Arabidopsis thaliana: one gene and its partner. The protein of the gene in region 2 interacts with the protein of the main gene of each other region in a pairwise test. Each region holds a gene or a part of one and is shown on either strand. Other genes may lie near its edges.

Region 1 (11,461 bases), about 13 Mb from region 2:
AGAGAGAGGGTTGATTTTTAGGTTTTGGAGGAAGTAGTTGACCATGTATGTATCTTCTGGTATAGTCACCGTCACCGTGAAATTCGCCGAAGCTGAGTTTTTGTTTTCAGAATTTTTTATATTCGCCAGTGTGTCTAATTATATATTTATGTGACTGTTCTAATCATTTTTTTTGTTTAGGTTTTACATTTTTTATGTATGATGTGAATGGATAATTTTCAAGAGTTTGTCACGTTTGTAGCACATCTTTTTATATGAATAGTTTTTTGGATGTTAGTGTATAAATATAATTTGTCATATCGTTTAGATTAAACAAATATAGGCAAAAGAGTGATTAACGTGTTCTTTTGAAATAGCTAAGAGATACTAACCTATGATGATTAAGTTTATGATACTTAAACTTTTTATCATCGAGGGCACTCTGCATTGTGACGAAGATGTGAAGTAGACCTAGAAGATGACGCACTGACTTTATTGCCACTGCTACAAAGCTAATCAACTTTGTACCAAATATACAAAACTTCGACCTCTCACGATGTTAAACTAATGGAATTATTAGAACTTAAAAAAATCGGATTAGAGATTAAAAAGAAATGAAATTATTTAGAGAGGTAGTTAGTAAAAGTAAATTCGATCCAGCGTGGTGCTGTGTCATTTATTTGACTGGGAATTTTCTTCAGACAGTGAAAGCAACATAATCGATGGATGATACTATTTAACAAAACAGGTCGTCACACACGTGTGTATAAATAAGTAAAGCGCCCACTCCTTTCTCATTTCGTAGCGCGCAGAGAGAGAGAGAGAGGGACGATCTTTTCTATAACTGAAACACTACTCGAGGCCAAGTTGCTTTAGCCGTAATCGTCGTCGTCCCTCTTCCCGATATTATCTCTTCTCTGTTCTTCGATTTCGAAACCCTAACCTCCTCTCTTTAATTCGCGTTTTCTGGATCGAAGATGGTGGCGGCTGGTAAATCCGACCTTTCCTTGCCCAAAACTTTCGCCTGCAGTGCCTTCGCTGCTTGCGTCGGCGAGGTAATCGCCGGATTCCTCAATTTTTCATCTCTTTTAACTCCATTTTTCTTATCGCTGAGTATGCTTCGATTGTACCGGAAAACTATTTGTTCGTTCGAGAAATGTGTGTCGCGATCTAGACTTTGTTGGCTATACGCGGAAATGTATTTTCGAATTTCGTTGGTATTTGTGAAGTTCTGATCAGGTTGATCTTTGTCTTTTTTGTCTTTATCATCGTATAGCTGGAGAATTTTGATTTTAGCTTCTATAGTGTTTCTCCAGATTACGTAATTCCGATAGAAATGATTTGATCTCGGAATAATCGGTCAGATCTGTGGCTAGAAATTGAATTTTGGCATGTGTAGTGTTGTTGATTTATGCTTTAGATATGATTTTGCGAAACATTGAAATGATTATGAGACTTGAAAATGGAATCTATTTGATCATTGTGATTGCTATGCAACGCAACTGTATAATGTTTAATTATCCTCAGAACAACATGTATCTTCTCTTTGGCTGTGTTGTTTCGTCAGATAATTCTGTTCTTATGCAATTAAACTCTCTGGACCAGGTATGCACAATTCCATTGGACACTGCTAAAGTTAGGCTTCAGCTCCAAAAGTCTGCTCTTGCTGGTGATGTTACTCTGCCTAAATATCGAGGATTGTTGGGAACTGTTGGTACCATAGCAAGGGAAGAAGGGTTACGTTCACTATGGAAAGGTGTTGTACCTGGATTGCATCGTCAATGCCTATTTGGAGGTCTTAGGATTGGAATGTATGAGCCGGTGGGTTACAAATTCTTCTTCTTTCATGCTCCAGAAAAGTGCTTAAACTCAGTGTTTTCCTAGTTACTACTTAAAGCCTTAACCAATTTATTCTACTCAGGTGAAAAACTTGTATGTTGGAAAAGACTTTGTAGGTGATGTTCCATTGAGCAAGAAAATTCTTGCTGGTTTGACAACAGGTGAGCATAACGATAGACCAGCTTAGAAAAAACACGTAATATATATTTCCTCTTTATCACTTAGTTGGGCTGTTTTTGTTGTCTAACTCTCAGGTGCACTGGGTATCATGGTAGCAAATCCCACTGATCTTGTGAAAGTTAGGCTTCAGGCCGAAGGAAAACTAGCTGCAGGTGCGCCAAGACGGTATTCTGGAGCGCTGAATGCTTATTCAACAATTGTGAGACAGGTAGTTATCCCGACTTGGAAGTTGAGATTGTGCATAAGTTGCTTCAACTCTACTTCATATCTTATTAATGTGGCTCTGACAGGAAGGAGTCCGAGCTCTTTGGACTGGTCTTGGACCTAACGTAGCAAGAAACGCTATTATCAATGCTGCTGAATTAGCGAGTTACGATCAAGTGAAAGAGGTATGAAACTAATATGTTCTCTGTCTCTCTTTCTAAATAAGAGATCCTGATATTTGAAGCAACCAACATTCCTTTTTTTTTTTGTGTTCAGACGATCTTGAAGATTCCGGGTTTCACTGACAACGTTGTCACACATATTCTATCTGGACTGGGAGCAGGATTCTTTGCTGTCTGCATCGGCTCTCCTGTCGACGTGGTAAAGTATTTACTCATGACATTGAACCTTGAGTTTATTCACCACGTTTCCTGATTGTCTACTTAAATCTTGTTGTGTGGCAGGTTAAGTCAAGAATGATGGGAGATTCTGGTGCTTACAAGGGCACCATTGACTGCTTCGTCAAAACTCTGAAGAGCGACGTAAGCAACTCTGCTTCTGATACCTCCATTGTTCTAGATATAACCCAGAAAATGTTACAAACTCTTTACGGTTTCCTCTACAGGGTCCTATGGCATTTTACAAGGGTTTCATCCCCAACTTTGGACGCCTTGGCTCATGGAACGTAATCATGTTTTTGACCCTCGAACAGGTAACAACTGATAGAATTTTTATTTTATCGCAATCGCATTCGAATCGGTCACGCAAAGTCTTCTTTCTCATTTTCTAATCCGGGTTCTTAATACTCTAATCCAGGCAAAGAAGTATGTCCGGGAACTCGATGCGTCCAAAAGAAACTGAGACACATAGTTTTAAGCAGAGGGAATAAGAGCAACATTGTTTTCTTCTTCATTTTCGGTGATTGAGAGAGGCCAGAACTTGGTCGAATATTGTTTTCGGAATAGAGATTCAGTTTTCGAGTAAAACTGTGAAATAAAATTTCTGTGGATTGCTCATATATTGGCTGTACCATCCAACATTTATCAAAAATCATACATTTTTCTCCTTTCTTTCCACAAAACCGAGAAAAATCAGAAAAAGAAACTCCTGAAGAAGAAAGAGGTGACAGCATCTCAGCTCAGTTTCTTATTTTCCGGATTAGCCCATATCTCGAGTCTAAGGTAAAGCTCTCTAGTTTTGTTGCAGATAAACTCAATAGAGCCAACAATGTAATCCTCATATCTCTCATAGAAAGCTGGAACCGTCATAACCACCAAAACGCCTGCCAAATTAACCAAGAACAACCACAAAATGAATATCCAGCTCAAAAGCATTCCAAGTCTATAGGAGTTTTAGAATATCTACTTACTGGTGTGGCAAAGTGTCTGAAAATCCATGAGACTTCCGATCAATGAGAGAAGAAACAGTGACACTGCTACTTTGGTATACAACTCTGAGTCTCTTGCCATTGCAATGTCATGCGAAACTTGGAGTAGCTTGTTCACATGAATACGTAACCATATCGAAGCTTCTTCCGCCATCGCTTCACTTATTTGAAACTCCGGTAACGGCGGTGATGGCCTGAAGAGCCAAGAAATTGAATCAGAAATGAAGTAATATTAGTTACAAGTGAATATTAATATACCTGTTGAGAATGGAAGCAGATTTGGACCAGAGGAAGAGAATAGAGAGCAAGAGAAGAAGAACACTTGAAATAAGAGTAAAGATAGTGTAAGCAAATGCCTCAAACACCATCCATGAAGCTATTGTCACTGTAACTATACCAACACTCACATTCTTCTTCCTCCACAGCATCACATCTGCAACTGCAGATTCATTTCATAACAAGAAAAAAAAAAGGCTATAGAGGTGAGAGATCACCTAGCTTTTATAAGTTTTGGATTTGGTAAAGAAATGTATTCACTAACCAATGCCTCCTCCCAGAATCTCATGTATTGTCCTGTCTCTGTTGAACAACTTGTCCGAAGAAGAACTCATTTGAGAAGAAAGATCAGAGCAAACTTGGATTCAGATTTCCTCAGATGATCAGATCCCAAAAGTAACCCAGATATGTATATCTTTCTCTGAATGTCAGAAACAGATCATTATGTGAAAGGAAATCCTAAAGGCTCGAATCGAAGGAACCTGATGTATCACAAAGAAAGTAAAAATAAAAAGTGAAGAAGAGACTAAAGTTGGGTCATCACCATCATCATCAAAGCCATCAACTTTGAATATACAAATAATTAATTAATAATTCAAAGGCTATGCTCTGTTTAGGGAAAAAGAAGGTGTTTGTTGTCCTCTCGATGTTTTTATTTCCAGCCTAAAAGTGTTATCCTTCTTGTTTTTTTCAAACTGTAAAAGTTCGCCAGATTGTACTTAGAGATGAATCAAATTTTACACCATCCTTTTATATTTTCCATAGAACACATTTAAATTGGTCATTCATCTACTTTTAGTCAACTGAAGTAATTTATGTACCCTTTTCAGATGTAGTTTCCTATGAATTCGAAAAGGTCGAATCTTTATCCTCAATTTAAGATTGTCAGAAGAATTTAATATGGTAAAAAAATCAAACAAAAACAATTCCACAAACCATTTATTATCCTCTGTTTTCTATCTTTCGATGTAAGCTTTTTTCTTTCTCTGTTCTGTATGTAAAATTGTTGATAACTCTTGATAACAAACCAAAACAAAGAAACAAAAGTGAATATCCCACCACCTCCATCAATAACACTTGTTCTCTATTTTCTCTGCTACTTTTGTTTCTCAGTTTCCTTTTCAGAAGTGCCCACAGCTCCGAGATTGGCCTCAGCAGCAGAAGCATCAAGCAAACTTGCTGCAATTGCTGCCTTCAAGTCATCATCTTCCATCTCTGAAAAAGCCTGCACTTCCTCACGTGACAATGCCTGATTCCGTCTTTGTTGATTAACATTGTCATTACTTCTCTTGTTTCTGGCAGAAGAACCTGAGCTCGTGTTCTTTCTTATTCTCTCTGCGTCTTCAGGAGAAAGCCACTGCCCGAAACTATTGGAAGCTTCAGAAGAAGACGACATGGGACATTCCTGAGGGAAGTTTCCTTTCACTATGAAGATACTCCATCCTGCGCCTTTGAGAGAGTCTAAGAACGCAGAAAGGTAGAACTTCGATAAATGTTGCGGGGCAGCAAGGAGACTATCAAAGTTATACCATTCGCCATTCACTTTCCTTATACAAAACCAATGGTCATGCAAGTGGCAGATAAAGGCGCTTTCAAGCTCAGGGTCTATCTGCGCAGGCTCTGCATCTGGACAATTGAGTGGAATTACTTGTAGATCCCACACTTCCAAAGCTTTTTGCAAGACCTGTCAATCAAACAGAAGCATTCTCAGTTAAACGAATAAGCAAAGACTAGATCAACTTTGCAAGATTAAAATGCTACACCAATCGCATAAACCCTCTGTTTGCAGTGTTTTATCCGCATCCAACTTCAACGTAATCCGTTAAAATAGCTTTAATTTTAGATATCTAAAAATGTGATGTAAAACACCATACTATACCCTTGAATCTCAATACATAAATCTTGCAATCAAACCTGACTTTTGTAGCAACCTAATCAAATATCAAGTTATCAACCAACTCGGTTTAAAGCTATCCAAGAAACAAAAGATGATAATTGAATATACAGAACCTCACTAATAACTAACATATCCAAAACAATTGAGTCCCAAGATAAAAAAAATCATCTCAAGTTCCTCCATTTATCAGCATAGCAATGTTCGCACAATGAAACTAGCCTTCAACAAATGAGTTTTAACCCAAAGTAAAGATCGCAAATTCACACCATTACTGATCTCAATTCTTCTTGAATCTATCTAAAAACGAATCCAACCATTCAAAAGTTTATCACTTCAGCATAAACACAGCAATCAAAAGCACCATAAAATCGAAACCCTAATTTTGCCTAAACTTCCAACAACACAATAACAAAAAGGCTTTACAATATATAAATGTTGAATGCAACTCAAGATTTATCAATTTCATCGCGAATTCGTACCTGGATACTAAAATCGCCGCCGAGGGAAACATTGTGCGACTCTTCAGCTAAGAAATCGCCGGGAGCAAAACCTCCAACGGCAGCACCTTCAAGCATAACCTGACGCTCCTTCCCGTCTAGATCGGCGGCGACGGCAGCCAAATCGAATTCAGAGAAGAAAGGCCCTTGCAACACCGTGTTGACGCAGTGTACGGCGCACAGATTTGACTCTTGAACCTCGTGATACAACATTCCTCCGTTGCTTGTTCGTTCCATCGCCGATTAAGATTTGAATATCAAAATTCACTGATTTTGCGATGAATATATTATTATTGCTCCGATGCAAAAGTCTCAAAGAGATTGTGAAGCGAAGATGAAGATGAAGATGAAGAAAGAAGAAGAAGAAGCAAGTTAACAGATTATTTAAATAAGAAAATGTAAGGGACGGAAAAGTAAATATACAATAAAAGGATGCCACGTGTAATAACCGACTTTCTAGGCCTTTTTCTTATTTTGCAGACGAGCCCGATACTGTTTTGAGATAGGCCCATTATCTCAAAATTGACAGACCAACTTAGGTTCCTTGCTTCCCAAGATTTCTGGTGATCTCTTTGATGGCGACTTCTGATAATGTGATGGGTATGATCGGGTTGGTTTATGCCTGCATTTCGTAATAACCACGTCTGAGAGCACTAATACAGAGTTAGGAATTATACTACTGAGAGCACTAGCAGCAATGTCCGTGAACAGTTTAAGAATTTAGATAAGTTAGTGACAGATTTAAAGAATGAGATTCTGTATAAGCTTTTACGCCCTCTGATTCTTTCATCAAGGTAATACATCTACTACTTCTACCTGTTTGTTCTAAACTCTTATTATGGTCTAAATTTTTCCTTCTTAGCCATATAATTGCAAGGCTAGAGTTGATTATACTTTGTTAAATGATTAGGTTTGGTTTCATTTCCAGATAGTCCTGCTGGCTATTTCCGCTTCCGCTCATTTAGTGACCAAACCTGGCTTCATCGCACCACCACATTCGTAAAATGACAAAAAAACTTTCTCTTTTTCTATGTGCATATAGTTGAGCTCAATAAAAAGCTTGTTTCTGACTATATATATATAAACCATGGGTTTTACTGAACAAATAAACCCCAGAATCAAAATCTGTTTTTGACGCTTGCTTGTCTCAATCTTGTTAGACAACCTCCAAGAAGCCAAGGGGGCTTCCTTATGCATCCTGATCTTGAGCATTTTCCAAACAGTTCAGATATATAGTCAAAAGTAAAGACATCTTCAAAGAAACAGAAGAAAATACTTGATCTCTTTGTTTAATGTCTAGTAGTAAGTTTACATATGTATTGACAATAGGATCCTATGTGCTTTGCTTTTTGTTAAGATTTCCCATGCTGTTGTTTAGTTTTTGATTTTATTTCCCAGCTTATTGCTTATAACTTCCAATGTATATAATAAGTTTCTTAAGAGCAATGGCAAAATATAGGAGGACATATTATCAGACGGTCAAAAAGCTTTAAGCAAAAAGCTCATAAAATAGTTACCAATAGCCTTTTACATATAAGTGGAAGACTGGAAGTATTCAGAAATACATAAGCAAAACCAAAACAAACCTAACACACCAACAACAACTAGACCACATACAAAAAACATTTACAAGCAAAACACTTTTCAAACAAATACTGTTAACTCCAAATATCTTCCACACCAGTTTCTTGATCAATGTGCTCGACCAACAGCTTTCTTGTATTTGTAGCGTTTTGAAATCCAGAGGTACACTAAGAAGTTGAGGAAACTGAGAGTTGCCAACAAGTAGAAAAAGTAATCAAGATGGCCTCGGTTCAAGTTATCCGGTATCCAACCCGGTTTACCGTTCTTCTTCGTTATCTTCATCACAACCGTCACAAGAACTGTGCTCAAATAGTTCCCCAACGCAACCGTGGTCAACGACAAAGCAGAGCAGAGACTTCTCATGGCATCAGGAGCCTGATCATAGAAAAACTCAAGCTGACCTATAAAGGTGAAAACTTCTGCACAACCGATAAGTAAATACTGCGGTATCTGCCAGAATATCGACATATGGATCTGTTTTTGGTCATATGCATTGTGAGTTTTGACATAATCAAGCCTGACAACCTCCAAGACTCCTGCAGTGATCATGGCAAAGATGGAGACCACAAGACCTATACCCATACGTTGAAGCTGAGTGAAGCCTCGTTCATTGCGTGTGAACTTTCTTGCCAGCGGGATAATGAACTGGTCATAGACAGGAGTCCAGAAGAGTACACTGACAGTGTCGAAAAGTGAGAGTGAAGCTGATGGGATTTCAAAGTTTTTTCCCATGTGTTGGTCCATTGTGTTTCCTTGTAACACAAACATTGTGCTCATTTGGCTGTACACTGTGGCGAAGACTATTCCTGTGGCCCAAACTGGAAGAAGTGTGATTATTGACTTAAGTTCTTCAACTTGAGTAACAGAACATAGTCTCCATGGATTGACTTCCCCGTCTTTGATGCTATCAGATTGACTCTCAACCGCTGCCTTGTCAAAAAACCTGAGATGTTTTCAAAACTTTAGATTTGAAAACAGAGTATTTTTGAAGTTAGGATAAAGATTCAAACTTTAGTTTCTTACTTTAAGTTATCTGTGTGCACAAGTTTCCGGCTACCTTTGATGTTACTCTCATCATCTGCAGTTTCAAAGAGCAGAGACTTGTCCTCTGGAACCTTAACACTTATCTTCCGAAAAGCCGCTACTATAACCTGAAAGATCCTAGTAAGTGGACTCCCTCCAGGTCTCTGAAGTCTGTAAAAACGGCTTCCGAAGAAGAAAAAGCAAACCGCGATAACCATCGCGACTGTTGGAACACCGAAACCCCATCCCCAACCAACATTCATTTGTATCCAGACGAGAACAGTTGCAGCAATGAGAGCTCCAACATTAATGGAGAAGTAAAACCAGTTGAAGAAAGAACTTTTCTTGATCTTCTCATTCTCATCATTCTCATCAAACTGATCAGCTCCAAAGGACGAAACACACGGCTTTATACCGCCAGTTCCAAGAGCAATCATATAAAGCGCGACAAAGAAAACAGCAGTCTGACTAGAATTTGGATGACAAGTATCAGCATTGCAGTTACCTGGTTTAAGTCCAGGAACTGAAGCTGATAATGTCAAAAGAGTCATACCCTTCAAGAGAAAAAACAAACTTAATTAGTTTTAACCAAAAGATTCACATTTTTAACCAAAAGATAAGAAACAAGTAAAACTCACGGAGACATAGATGAAAACAAAAGTTGCAATAGTCCAATATCGTCCAAGGTAAGCATCAGCTATAAAGGCTCCAATCAAAGGAGTTATATAACATGTTCCAGACCAATTCGTGACGTTATTTGCAGCCGTAGCATTGCCTTGATTCAGACGGCTCTCAAGATAATTCACAAGGTTAGTGCCCATGCCATAGTAGGCCAATCTTTCACAGCACTCATTTCCTACACAAAACACATAAAACTGGTTAATCTTATATGGATAGATCCAATCAGGGCCCAAGCTATATAATAAAAAAATATAATGGCCCTTTCTTTATTTAGACAATTTTTTTGAAGAAAACAGAGCAGATTTTAGGTTTATAACTCTTTTTTCATAGTGATCACCCTACAAAACTAAACATTTCCAATAATATTTTAAATTTTATTTGTTCTCTATCATTCAATTTGCTTTTAATCGTATATAATCTCTTTTTAATCATTACATTTATTATTTACATGTAAATGTTTTTAGTGGACCTTAAAAAACAGGGGACACGAGAGGCCATTACTTAAGCTGGTCCAGGTCCTATACGGCAATAATGAAGAAAAAGATTGGTGAAACGATTAGAACGTTACCGAGAATGAAGCGGCAAGCTTTCCAATTTCCGGTTTTCTCCTTGTTTGCAGGATTTTTGTGAATATCAACAGTTCCATCTTGCGTATACACATCTTTTTCTTCCATATTCCTAATAAAGAAAAATAGTTTAGCTTTTTCAAGAAAGATGTACCAAACACATACCTAAAGATCCCCAATTTAGAGATCCATACTTCAGGTATAAGGTTATGAGAAAACCCTTAAAAATATACGTGAAAGAAATTGACTAGTAGATGCTTAGATCGAAATATGCAGATGAAGCAAGCAAGTACGAAATTTTCATGCTCTGAAATTATAGTTTATGTGTGACCAGATGAGGTTATGGTTGTAACTTGTAACGAAAGGAAAACTCATAAAAGACTTAGAAAAAAGGGAGAAACCTTTGTCGGCGGCAGCTGAATCAGCGGCGGAGACGAGAGGCAAGAAGAGAAAAGAGTAGCCGAGGGCGAGGAATTACACGGCACTTGTCGGAGTAATAATGAGCATGAGCTTATAAAAAAGACTTGCAGAGCTCTGGTCCCGTACAGCTTTTATATCCAAGGAAATAGAAAGGAGCGTTGCTCACTTTTCTTCTCATGTTTGCAGTTTAACCCTTTGAGTTTTTGTATATTTCAGTTAGAGCCGCAAGGCCTATTGTGCTATCAGATTTTGATATTATCTTGTTTTGACTCCAAAGTGTAAATAGATCAATATCGAAGGACGTGTTAATCATCCACCAAAACTTTAGTGGACTCTTTTTGTTTTTTATCCGATATTACGGAATTGACATTACCAGAAAGATAACAAGAAAGAACTCCTACTCAAAACAAGAAAGATACAAGTGTGAATACAAACACTTTGGTCAATAAGATGATTTGGAGTTTTCTTATAAAATTGAGTTCATACTCTTTCTTTTTTTATTTGAAACTTGTGTTCATACTCTAAATATCAGATTGTCGATTTTGAAAAAAAAAAATAGTTAGGTTTATTAAATTTGGTTTTGGTTGATGTTTGATTTTGGATATGTGAAAATAAAGCCAAAAACATCACTAGATTCAATATTCAATTTGGTGGTTCAGTCTAAATCCATTTGATTAAATCTCTAATCACTCCCTCGATTAAAAACATTGTTTCAGCTTTAAGGTCTCAGTGGATCTTAAAATATAAACTAGGGTAGTGATATTAGAAAGATAATTAAAGGTGTTTGATTTGGTTATGCTAAAATAAGAGGTGCTAATGACAATTAGTAATAAAGTAACCGTTGATCTAAAGATTCACCGAGGACGAATATTAAAAGATGCATGTGAATCGACATATGTAGCTGGATCCTGTTTATCTACGAGGATTT
Region 2 (12,437 bases):
AACAATTCAATGTTACAACAGCATACATATCTCTAACATAACATGGAAAATCAAAGGGGATTATTCAGAAAAAACAAAATCTGGGACTAGAATTCCATAATGAAAATCTCAAAAGCCGATTACCTGATTTTTTTCGGGAATGGTTGTCAATTCATCCTCTTGTTGTTGAAATCTGAAACGAGGAATTGGGAAGATGTTAAACTATTTGAGCAGAAACTGATTGTGTTGTATAGCAATCAACGCTAAAAGAGTAGATGAGTGACTAGAATGGAATCTAATGTTCGTTCGAATTACTAATAAGGACTCAAAATTCAAATCAAAACTCAGAGAAGCAAAATGTGGAAAAGGAGACGAAGAAGAAGATATATCAGATTACCTTTTCAGAGAAGCGATGGAGAGAAGCTTTTCTGGGTCCGAGGGTTTTAAGAATTGCGCAGGTCTCTTTTTGTGGGTTCCCAGATAAAGGTAAGGGTATTTTGGTCATAATCTCAGCTTACATACTTGTTTGACTTTTTTAGTATGACTTACGACTTTTGTTTCTTTTTTTGTAAATTTACTAATAATATAAGTATGAGAAGAAGACACGTGAAGCGCCAAAAGACTTGTGGGGAGTGTATACCGGATAAGGTTTGCATGGTCTCTAAGACCTCAGGTTCTTCCTCACAGTCCTTTCTAAAGAATCATCATCCATGGATGTACGTTGTTTGATCTCTCCAAATCTTTTGAACTCGAAGATTAAAGTTTCCGGCAATACTCATCACCTTCCCTTTTCTTCCCTCTCCAAGAAACACCAAGCTTCTTCCGTATGTTACTTCTTCTCTGCTTTCTCTACTTTTCTTTTTGCACTGCATGTGTTTTTTTTTGGTTCTGGGTTTGGATATGTAAAGAGTCCTCACGTTTTGGATCCAAACCCAATGTTTTAGCCGATACAGGCAGCCATTAATGGAGGAGGGAGCTCAAAAACAGTGAAGCGTCTGATCACTTTATCTCCTAGTGAAGGCAAATGGAATGGAAATTGGAAGACTCAGTACGATGTCTCTCTGCGTGATCTTCAACTCCAAGACCTTGTTGAAGATGGCCCTCCCAATTCCCGTGTCTCTGTCGACCTCTCTGTCCAAAGGGTAACTATCTTCTCCACCACTATGTTGTTGTGACAGTGATTGAATATTAGAAGCTGTCTTCTCTCTTACCTAATCAATCATTTAGTGTTGTTACTTGTCTAGCACGCGAGCATGGGCCTCTCAGTAGATGGAAGAATCATGACTTCTATCGCAAGAAAGTGCAGCATTTGCTCTTCTCTTTATCCTCGACTGGTAACTATTTCATTCTAAAGGGGTTTCTTCAAAAACCCTTTCGCAAGAAACTGTTTTGATGAAATATCTGTGACCAGATCGATACAAGTTTCACCGTCTGGATTTTGCCATCAAGCCGGGAAAATCGAGCTTCAACACTGCCAGAAATTGGCGGCGATGATCCTTCGGTGAGAGCCCTTAGAACATCATAAGCTCTCTATATATATTTTTGCATTTCAACAAGTGGAATGAATAAAAGTCTCTGTTGGCAGGTGATATATGTCAGACCTGGATATGAAGCTAACCTTGATTCCCTTGTGCAAGACACTATCCGCCTCACAACTTATGCTAAAGTAAGACTCTGTTTAAACTATTACCAAGTTTCATGGAATCCACAAGGCCAAAACCTTAGATCGATTATGCCCATCTCTTGGCTTTATAAATCTTGGTTGTGAAGTCTGATTGTTTCACTTATATTGTTGTTTGATTGTAGGATATATGCTCGGATTCCTGCGAAAAATCGGAACCAACACTGCACTGTAAGCAACATTCTGTTGGTTTTGTTTCTTTCCTATTTTCACATGACATGTTAGTAAAATATTCGAAAGGATTAAAGAGTTTTCGTTTTCTCAATTGCTTCTGCAGACGTTGGTCAGACAAATACAGCTTCTGTCGATAAGAGATGGTCAAGACTACTTGAACTTAAGAAGAAGTAGAAACCTTTTTATTCTTTGAATCTCTCTGTTCAATGTACTTCAAAGTCTTAAAAAGATTTTGATACTGTTCATATTCCAATATATACAAAATAAAAAACACATTTACAAGAATATGTAATGATTGATTCTAAATAAAAATCATATGAATGAGATAATGAAAACGTTATAGCTACTTAAGATTCACATTTGAACATTATTGTACCTGATTTTGAGTTTTATGACAGTAACACCAACAAGATGAAGATGTAAAAAGGAAAATACATACAATTATCGTTGAGTTGAGTTTAGTTCCTTAGTCCCTCTTTTTGTTGCATTTGCTCTCTAAGATTTCCGAGAGGTCCATATCCTTTATCCTTCTCTTCTCTGCCACAATCACATTTCCTCTTATTCAGATTCGCACCACACTTCAAGCACATTCCTTTACATGCAGAATCGCATATCGCAGTGATGGTGATTTCTAAATGCACCAAGTCTCTTATATGCTTTGAGATATCTATTTCTTTCACCTCAGGTGGAAAATGAAGCTTATCCTCCCAATCTATCCATGAATCATCATTATCATCATCATCTTCGCCTTCTTCTTTGTCATTACCGAATGTGAATCCTAGATCAATGACATCGGGTTCTTCAACTGGCTCTTCGGTTAGTAATAGCGAGAAGTTGGAGAAGATGCTCTCACCTGTTGACTCACCACATCTTCAAACACATAAGAGAAAACCCGTTAAATAACAAAGTTGATGCAATCACAATAAAGTAAAAAAGCTTCGATGAGTTCATAAGAAAGCACCTGTTGCAGCCGAGTGTGATAACAGTCCTGACAATTCCATCAAGTCTCAGCTTCTTCTTCTTCCTTATGACATCAACCGAAACTTGAACTGGTGTGCCATCTGGATAATCCTTGACATCTTTTGTCACTCTAAGTCCCATTGCAGAAGCTCTCTTCTTCGAGACATCTGTTGACAACCTTCCCAACCCAAGCCTCTCTAAGGTAGTGCAATATTCAACATGTGTAACTGAAGCATTTCTCCTATACATAACCGAACCTTCCCAAGGTGACCCAGTATCCTCAATTTCCTCCTGATCTTCCCAATCCATATCTATTGTGCTGGTCTCTGTAAAAGACTCCTGACTAACTAATATCCGACTCTTTGCTAGCCTAGGAAGCTTGATCGGTTCAGTGAACAAGTAACTGATATGCTTCCTAATACCGGTGGTAAAATTAGGATAGCCAGCGGGAGAAGATAAACTTAAGGTACATGTTTCGAGTTTCAGAAAACTTGGACGCGACTGTTTAGTCTGTGGCAAGGGAGCTACACAAGATAAAGAGCAAACCAGAGACATTTTCGTAGCAAAGGTGACAACAAGAGGCAATTTATCAAGCGTTTATCAAACAATCATGCTAAAATATGGTATAAAATCCAGCCAAATCCCAATAGGATTGGGTTTATCCAGCTTGAAACAGAGCACCTGCAAGAAACATTTGCTGATATAGTGTCAACAATAGAGAAAAGACAGAAAATCTTGAGAAGGGAAATAATAATCTTCAATTGTTTTTGAAAAGAATGAATTGGGTATCGAGACTTCACAGTTACATTCCAGTCAGAGCTAATGTAACTAAAGGAATTTGAGCTAGGAATTTGGTCGAACACCTTCTATGCACCATTTTATGTAGATAAAGGACAGACCTTTCCACTTCCAATTAACAGAGCCGCAAACATCATGACGGAGACGAAATCGAAAAACAAGCAAGTAACTTCGAATACAAAAGATACAACAAGAATTAATAAATCGAAATTACTTACCACTAACAAGTGCTTCAACAACGCTTTAGACGATCGACTCTGTAAAACTTCTTTCAGAAACAGAGCTCTTCTTACTCGGAAATGGCTGCTTGGGTTTATCCTAAAAAGTCTCACCCGGTCAACTTCGGTTCAAATACCGGTATTTCCAGGTTTATATCAAACCTAACCGCACCCCAATAAAACTAACAAAGTCGGGTTTTAGTGTTTTAGATTCACGTCGTGAATGATCTAAAGCCTAGTTGGTGGTGGTATAAAGAGAGAAGTTGAAATGATCTCTCAAATTGGTAGATCAATTAATTCATTACAGCAACATGCTTACATTGTGACAGTCAAGCAACACGATAAAACCGGAAACCTTCAATTTCATAGGCAAATCCAAAAGTTTTAAACTCTAAAATCCACTCAAACCAGAATGAGTCAAACAACAACAAGAAGCAAACAACAACAACAAGAGTCTTCAAGACACTAAAACTGAAATTAGGAAACAACAACATAACAGACACTACTAGGAATAACAATAATCATCCCGAGCCATTACATCAAACCAAGGCTTATTATTACTTAATCTGCCTCGGCATAAGCAGTTTCGAGATGAGCTTGTTCGGCTTCTCTAACTTCTTTCTCAGTCTTCCTTCCTTTCTTGGACTTGTAGTAAACACTCATGAACGTTCCAATAGCTCTATACTTCTTGCGGCACTCCTCATACAATTCACCATTAAACATTCTCCAGAAGCTCTTCTCGTCGAGCTCAGACACCGCGTACTGAGGCTGGAATCCATGGTTCTCTATCAGCCATTTCTCCATCCTACGCACTGCTTCTGATCCATCAAACTCTTCACCTCTTAGGACACAGCCAGGTGCGTAGTAGACTCCAACATCAGTGTACATCTGTGCATCTTCTGTGTCTCCTTGTCTGTTTTCGTACTCGAAGCCTGGCTCTGGGTAGATTTGGCCTTTGATTGGCTGCTTGAAGAGTTTGTGTGGGCAAAGCCAAATTGGATACACCTGAAAGAGAACAAACAATTCATGATTTTGTTAATAACATCAAAAGAAACTTTAACTAGAAGATGATCAATCATGAAACCGAGCTTTTAGTTTTACCTCCATTTCGCGGTGGACCCATTCGAGTGCATCGCCAACCTTGTAAAGAGGAACAAGCATATCCTGAATAACATGCATATCATGGTAATAGTTCCTGATAGCTTCACCTTGAGTGGCCTTAAGAAGAGAGACCTTTGGAGGCATCAACCAACCTAAGAGGTACCTAAACCAGAACTGATCACCAAATGGAAGAATAAGCTTCCCTTCCCAGTACAAGCACCTTGTGTGCCTGTGGTAGTATTCACGAGTTGGGATGTACTCAACAAACTGTCCCTTTTTCAGGGCGGTCTGCGCGTGCTGGTAGAACCACGGCTTGAACCACCATCCCACATTGTTGATTTTGTTCCCTTTCTTCTTTGCCTCTTCTTTAGATGCATATGTTCCAACCATCATCACTCCTTCCGTTGGATTGTAAACCATGCCTTCGACGAAATCCGGGATTTTCGACTTGTCACCGTCTTTGGGAGCAAAAGAATCAATGTAACCTTGAGCTAAGGCTTGAAGATCACCCTTGACTGGTATGTAAGTGAGTCTCATGTACTCCTTGACTTTAATAAGCCTGATCTCAGCAGCTACAAGGAGTCCAAGAGTTCCTTGCGACCACGGGATTGCGTAGTAAAGATCAGAATACTCATTATCCCTTGTGGCGCGGACAAGCTCTCCACCCGCAAGAACAATCTCGTAAGCCTCAACGGTATCAGCAAACAAACCGTAGATGTGAGAGCTTCCTTCAATACCATATCCATTGATAAGTCCACCAACGGTAAGGTCATCAAGCTCAGCAACAACAGCGAGAGACAGGTTCATTGGGACGGTAGCACGGGAAATCTGTCCCATGTTAACAAGAGGCTCCACTCTAGCAGTCATCTTCTCCTTGTTGATCTCAAGGATGTTACGGAACTCCCCCAAGTCAACCTCGAAATGCCGGGCTCTCTTGTAGTCAACGTTCCTCATTCCAACAGCGATCCAGGGCTTACGAGCAGTGCAGACAAGCCCGTCCTTGGAAGCATCCCTACCCTTAAGCCTTTTGATGACTTTCTTGACATTCTCGTCGTGTTCCTTCTGACGTTTCTCAAAGGACTTGGACTCTGACCACATGTCCCCGAGGTAGATGAGGAAGTAGAATGTGGCTGAGAATGGAAGGACGATGAAGATGACAATGATCCATCTGAACTTGACAAAGTAATCAACCCAAGTCTTCTTCCTCTTGGGCCTCACAAGCGGTGTCTGAAGATCCGACATTTCCTCTCCTCACTGCATCAAACCAAAAAGAAAATCAAATCAACCAGAGTTTCAAAATCCATCACTGTAAAAGTCAACAAGGCCTAAGAAGTGAGCATAAATCTACCAGAATGTCAAAAATACTAAAGATTAGTTTCTTGAATCCAAAAAGAGTATAATAAGCACACATAAACACATACGTATACACACATGTGTATCAGTGTATGTGTATGAAATAAATCTGTAAGAAGAAGATAGTGTGGAGTCCATGGAAACAGAGAGCTAGTGAACAGAGAGACAAAAAGACATGAAGTTATGTTCTGAAAGAACAAGAACACAGAAAATGGTTATAATCTTTAGATCTACACATCTAGTATTCCTACAAAGCCATCAAAGTCTGTTTTCTACCACCAAAATAAATAAATAAAAGTTGGTGAGCAAAGTTTGAAACTTTGTTTGAAATTCTCCAAGACTGAGATGATTAAAATTAAAAAACCCACATAGTTCACTAGTGCGTGCTATGAAACAACTATGAACCAAGTACTGAGAGATCTAACGACAGGAAATGATAAGTCAGCGACTGAGACAGAGAGAGAAAGAGAGGTAGAGAGAGTACCTGAAGAATCCAAAGGAGAGAGAGAGTGAGAGGATGAGATGTGAAAGTGTCCCCAAGAGTGTGAGAGCATTTGTCTTTATAATAAAACGTGATTCAAGCCAGCCTGCTTCACTTGCATTTTTCGCTCAAAACAAGGTATTTTTTATTTCCCATTTTTTTATATAATTTTAAAATAAAAAAGGTAATAATAACGCAAAAATATAGAAATTAAGAAATATATAATGTATATTTTTCATGGGTTTGTATAAGTGGTTTTTCATATTTCTAAGTTTCTTTGTTGTTATCGCAATTAAAAATTCGATGTTAGTTGTAATGTTGATAAATCACATGTGTTATATTTATGAGCAATTTTTTAGTTTATAATTCTGATGTAAGAAAATAAAAATAAATTGTTTTTACTTATATCAGTATTTAATATATTTTTACCAACTCTTTTAACATTTAGAAATTATATGTAAATCGAACCTAGAGCTTAATTAGACATATCTTCCAAAATATAATTTCTTACTTAGCAGTTAGCATATAAAAGGAATATGAGGACAAATTCTTTGTAGGGATATTTTTTCTGAAAAGAGTTTACTGCTATAAATAGGTAAAAGCAAATAAATAAAAAAAGGCAACAAATCTTAGCAGTTTAAATTTCTTTTAAATAGAAAAATATATCTTTCTTTTGGTATGTAAATCACAATAAATTACAGGAAGACATGTGCCCAATGAAGGAAATGTAATTGTCCAATTCGTTTTTTTTTTAAATGCATTTTATGGGTTGATTGTATTGATTTTTGTTTTCTAAATGCTTTTAGCGAAACAGTCCTCCTACATGTTTGTTGATGTACCTAAAGCACATTCCATCCTCGTGAGGTTACTAAGCCGACGATCTTATATATTGTTTATTGGCAAAAAGTTCATTACAACTTTTCTTATCATAATAGTTATTACAACAATCTTTAACATTTAGTTTTGATATGTTATGATTGAAGCAAAAAAAGCACTGCCTAAAATATCTTGAAAACATTATACATTATGAATGCTAATGAGAGTTCCTTATATCTTTCTCTCAACTCTTAAGGGATCTTCAAATGAGTGTTTTTTTTAAGCCAAAACAATTGTGAATTAGTCATTCACTTTCATCTTATTCAGATTACAATGTAGTATTTTAGAAACTAATGTGTAGTAAAAAATTTTATATAAAATGCCTCTTATTTATATAAAAAAAAAAACTACGGCTGTGATGAGAAATGTTTTCCCAAATCCCAATAGCCATGCTTTTCATCAAAATTCATATATGAAATCATTTGTATCATTATCAGTGCCTACATAATACAGTAATAAACACACAAACTATCACGTTATTTGGTGAAAAAGGCTCTCAATATATAATTCTGTTACTGTAACCAATTATTTGATTTCCACCTAAGTATTTTAATAGTTGATTTAGAAAAGCAAATAAAATCATGATTTATTTAGAAAAATGGTTACACTTTAAAGTAATGAAGTGCTCAAAAAGTTTTTTTTGTCGCCAAAAAGTAATTATTTATTTATTTGACATAGAAAGAAAAAAAAAATTACAGGGATGATGGCCTGTCTGAGAAAATATCCAGCTCTTGCAAAATCTCTCATAAAATATATTTACTCTTTAAAATATGCCAACTAATTTCTTACTCACATTTACAGCTACAAATCATTTTTTTGTAGTATGGAAAAATAAATGTCTATTTGGCGAATCACACCTTTTGACATTGACAGTTTGACGTCAGTGAAAATTTGGTTGACGCTTGACAAAGTTTTAAACCGTTACAAGGTCGTGTAATCACACCAATGTTTACATTACAAGAAACACCAATTTGTTTATATATATATCCAAATACAAAGACATTACTCTTTGGTCCAACGCCAAATAAACCCATGCGTCATTTCTGCATCAACAAAAACCGTCTTTGTCCATTCCATTAGTACCTAAAAAAGTGTGAAGAAGCCAGAGACAACAACCCACATAAATTATGATTTGTTAAGATTGAAGCGTATTATGACTAAACACTTCTCTTGAAGTAAAAAAATTAAAAAAAAAAAAAAAGGTGAAAGAAAAAGACAAAAGAGAACGGAGAAACCGAAGAGAGGAGAGTTGAAGATAACAAATCTATAAACGAGGACTGTCCTACTCCCCACATGTGCCTGACGTGATCTCAACTCCTTCACGTGATTTCTCTTCCTCATTTTTTGTAATTTTATTACTAATTCTCCATTTTTTCTCACTTCTTATTAATCCCTTTTTATTATTCAAATTTTTGTTTTCTGCCACTTCCATTTTATTACTATTCTTGCTAAAAGAGAATGGAAAACAAAATCACTTTGTTTAATGCACCCACGATCCAGTTTTTATTTTAAATTGTTGTGCCTTCTGTTTGATTGCATGTACTTAACTTCTTATAATAAGTGTAGATCTACTCTTAACGTGCAATTAACTAATAGTCTAATACATCGGGGACACGTTCAATTGTTGGTAGCATTCTTGTTTAGCATTATATATAATCCATGATTTTAGCAATACCAATCAATCATTCCAAAGACAGATCGTTTCGTTTTCAGTGGCTTTTCATTAGACGATACATTGTTACCCTACTCAAAAACTTAACTCAAATGGGTTACTTCAACAATCAATATTGAAAAGAAATCACTTCTCAACAATAGATTAAGAAAACGACCAGAAAGGAGACTTTCTTGCGCCTTTGTCTTGGTTCCCTGAAATTAACCATAGTTCAGTCTTAGTAACATCGAACAAAATTGCTAAACTGATCCTAATGGGGAAAACGATGCATGCATACAAAACTGTTACACAATACTGTAAATTGCTAAACGCATACACCAAAAAAGAAGCAATCATAGCCTATAAACAGCGTTCTTTGCCTTCGTTACAGGTTGTGAAACACTATTTCTAACCAAATATTGCAATGAATTTTCAAGCAAAATATTGTGAGTTAGATAGGCGATGGGCTAATAAGTAGGAGTTGATTGGGAAGAAACGATATTAGATATTTGAGAGTTATGAAGAGTTTAACCTCTCCCTAACATGATCTAGCAAGACAAAGTTTAATAGCCAGGAAACCAGCAAAACATTGCAAAAAACAGAAAGAAGATGAATGTACCTTGTTTAGGCTCTGCGCATCGATATCTCCATGAACTTTTTGTTCCTCCTCCAGAAAGGCATATCCATGGCAGAATATTAAAGTTGTTGTAGCTAACAATATGGAAAAAACTAAAACCAAGGAATAAAAAAGGCCAAGTGAAAAACTCATTACTACTTCCACCTAGAATTCTTGGAGAACACTTTTCTCAATCCTAAAGTTAGTGACTGCTAATATCAGGTGTCTTCGTGCAATGTGTTATGGAATCCCTTCAGAAAAAGAAAAAAAATCTTTATTTGAATAAAATATTCGTGTACTATAACAAACCATTGGTATACACGTTGATCACAGTTGTAAGAGATTGGGTGAAATGGACCCTAAAACTTTCTGCCGCCAATAAGCGCCCCTCTTCTAAATGCATACAACAGCACTAGAATGTAAACACAAAACTGAGACCTCGTTATACGCCATCTCTGAGGCCGAGAAGAGAAAATTAACCAACCTGCCATTACATAAAAGGCTTTGGTCAGTCAATCAACAATGGGACACTAACAAATGCAAATAGCAGAACAGGACTATGCCACATTGTATAGAAGACTCACCTGACCATTGCCAAATCGCACAATCTTTCCAAAACAATACATTGGTTTTTAACTTTCTAGCGTAAATTGTATGCTAGGTACTCAGTATGTCTCAATTACAGAAAATTAGGTTCATCATTTTCAACTTACATAGTTTTATCTAAGTGACACCTATTTTCGAGTAACGGTATAAACATAATAAGCCAAAACAGAAACTACACCCAGCATAAATCCAGCGAAAAACAGTAAAGTGATTCCAAAAAGATTGCAAGGCCGATCCTCAACTATATGCAGAGATTCCATACATATATTCAAGTGAAGTCAACTGATATTGGCAACCATAGGCATAACTTACAAAGTTTTCATTTCGAGGTTCATACTTACTTTGGCAAAAGAAATCGTAATTATCCATACAACACCATGTCACGGGTTGAAGAAACTTGAGCCGCCCATGTTGATAGCAACGAGCACCAGTACAGAAGTGATTACACCGAACCACAATAATGCTAATCCTGAAATTAACAAAGCTTAATAGTTTTAGACAAAGCAACCATAGAAACAAATTCATCATAAAATAGAGCCTCGATATACCTCCATTATTAATAGAACCTCTATCAGATTTCGCATTTTTCACTTCCAAATCTGATACGTCCCCATTGCCAGCATCTTTTGGTCGAGATTCTGAGTCCGCCCCAGACATTGAAGGAACAGGTGACACGCTTGATTCACCATCATCAACTTTATTGTTCCCAGTTTCTGATGAAACTATGCCTTGAAATTCCTCGCTCAAAATCAATGCAGACAACACGTTCATAAATGACTCTTGACCAATATCATCTGAAGGAATCTTGTCATTCTGCACAAATGAGCTAGGTTCTTCCGAATCAGACATTTCATCATCGGAAGCATCTGCATATATGGCTTTTGCGTTGCGTTTATCATCTTCTTCATCCTCCACGTATGCTTTGTATGTAAGCCGGAGTAGTATTTCTCCAGTAGATCCCTTTCCGAACAAACTCCAACCGCCTCGTAAACTAACAAATCTGTCTGTAGGAACCGTATCTGGCAGTGATTCAAGGTCAACCTGGATGTATAATCAAAGTAGTAAGGTTATGTAGACAGCAAATTTTCTATTCAGCACTATTTTCCTGGTAATTTATGTAGAGATTATAGTGAAAAAGTTATCAGAGCAGGGCTGACTACTCAACCTACAGCACCAATAAATAATTATGTGTTGTCAGGTTTTTGTGCAGAAACATGTGAATTGGTTGCTTAGTAGCTGAAACTGGAAGTGAATACAGGTGCCCTTTGTAATACTGACAAGAAGAGCAATAACCGATAGGGTGTGTACCCTGAACAAACTATTCAAAAGAGGTGTGACATGCTCACATAATACCAGCTACTACAGATACAGCGAAACCATTGCCATTGCGGCAACTAATTGTTCACTCACTGTTTCTCTTACTCATTCAATCACATAGTTTTTACATCATAAATTAAAAGCAAGCTGATATCTTATTAGTATTGGTGCTAGTTCTCAGTCTCATCTTCTCAATTCAAACCCTTAAGTTGAGATATTGTGCAGAGAATAACAGGATGGAACTGGGTTCTTGTACTATGAATAACAAACATGAAGTAGATGATCATCTTATGAAATCATTGTTGTTAACAGATCAAGCTATTCTTCTGCAGATTTCAAATGGGATAAAAAGAAAGATGATTTACCTCTCCGATACCAATAGCCATATCGGCAAATCCAAGACAGTCGTTGACTTCAATTTGTAATACTTGCTCTCTAGGATTTGACACAAGGAATTGGAAGTCCTGACCATATATATGATACAGAAATAGTCTATTAAATTTTAGGAATTCAGCATATACTATAATCCACCACCAGATTATGAATAAGCCATTAAGATATATTGAGCAGTTCAACCTGGTTCCAGATTGGCTGACCAGGAGCCCCAATCACAGTAGTTTGACTGT

What was found.
Region 1: the proteins of DWF1 (region 2) and AT3G54130 interact in binary tests that used the Arabidopsis thaliana proteins (3 or more experiments, as listed by UniProt).

Annotation. Positions count from the first base shown.
Region 1 is NC_003074.8:20,037,934-20,049,394, forward strand, and holds AT3G54130 (Josephin family protein), read right to left. Parts: upstream 6,648-11,461; 5' UTR 6,497-6,647; coding exon 6,242-6,496; intron 5,550-6,241; coding exon 4,962-5,549; 3' UTR 4,708-4,961; downstream 1-4,707. Other genes in the region: PUMP1 (plant uncoupling mitochondrial protein 1), read left to right, coding at 957-1,034, 1,585-1,800, 1,901-1,979, 2,073-2,206, 2,289-2,387, 2,479-2,583, 2,667-2,744, 2,828-2,914 and 1 more; AT3G54120 (Reticulon family protein), read right to left, coding at 3,336-3,484, 3,572-3,783, 3,848-4,028, 4,131-4,200; PTR1 (peptide transporter 1), read right to left, coding at 7,952-8,786, 8,867-9,420, 9,505-9,722, 10,116-10,221. UniProt on the Arabidopsis thaliana protein: Interacts with key regulators of transcription and represses transcription. Acts as a histone-binding protein that regulates transcription. Acts as a deubiquitinating enzyme.
Region 2 is NC_003074.8:6,875,464-6,887,900, forward strand, and holds DWF1 (cell elongation protein / DWARF1 / DIMINUTO (DIM)), read right to left. Parts: upstream 6,853-12,437; 5' UTR 6,749-6,852; exon of another isoform or gene 6,166-6,748; 5' UTR 6,154-6,165; coding exon 4,912-6,153; intron 4,816-4,911; coding exon 4,372-4,815; 3' UTR 4,061-4,371; downstream 1-4,060. Other genes in the region: AT3G19800 (E3 ubiquitin-protein ligase, putative (DUF177)), read left to right, coding at 690-803, 924-1,121, 1,224-1,313, 1,391-1,480, 1,565-1,645, 1,786-1,831, 1,938-2,008; AT3G19810 (BTB/POZ domain protein, putative (DUF177)), read right to left, coding at 2,293-2,704, 2,796-3,349; NTMC2T5.2 (Calcium-dependent lipid-binding (CaLB domain) family protein), read right to left, coding at 10,875-10,963, 11,043-11,535, 12,177-12,275, 12,388-12,437. UniProt on the Arabidopsis thaliana protein: Plays a critical role in the general process of plant cell elongation. Involved in the synthesis of campesterol, an early precursor of brassinolide.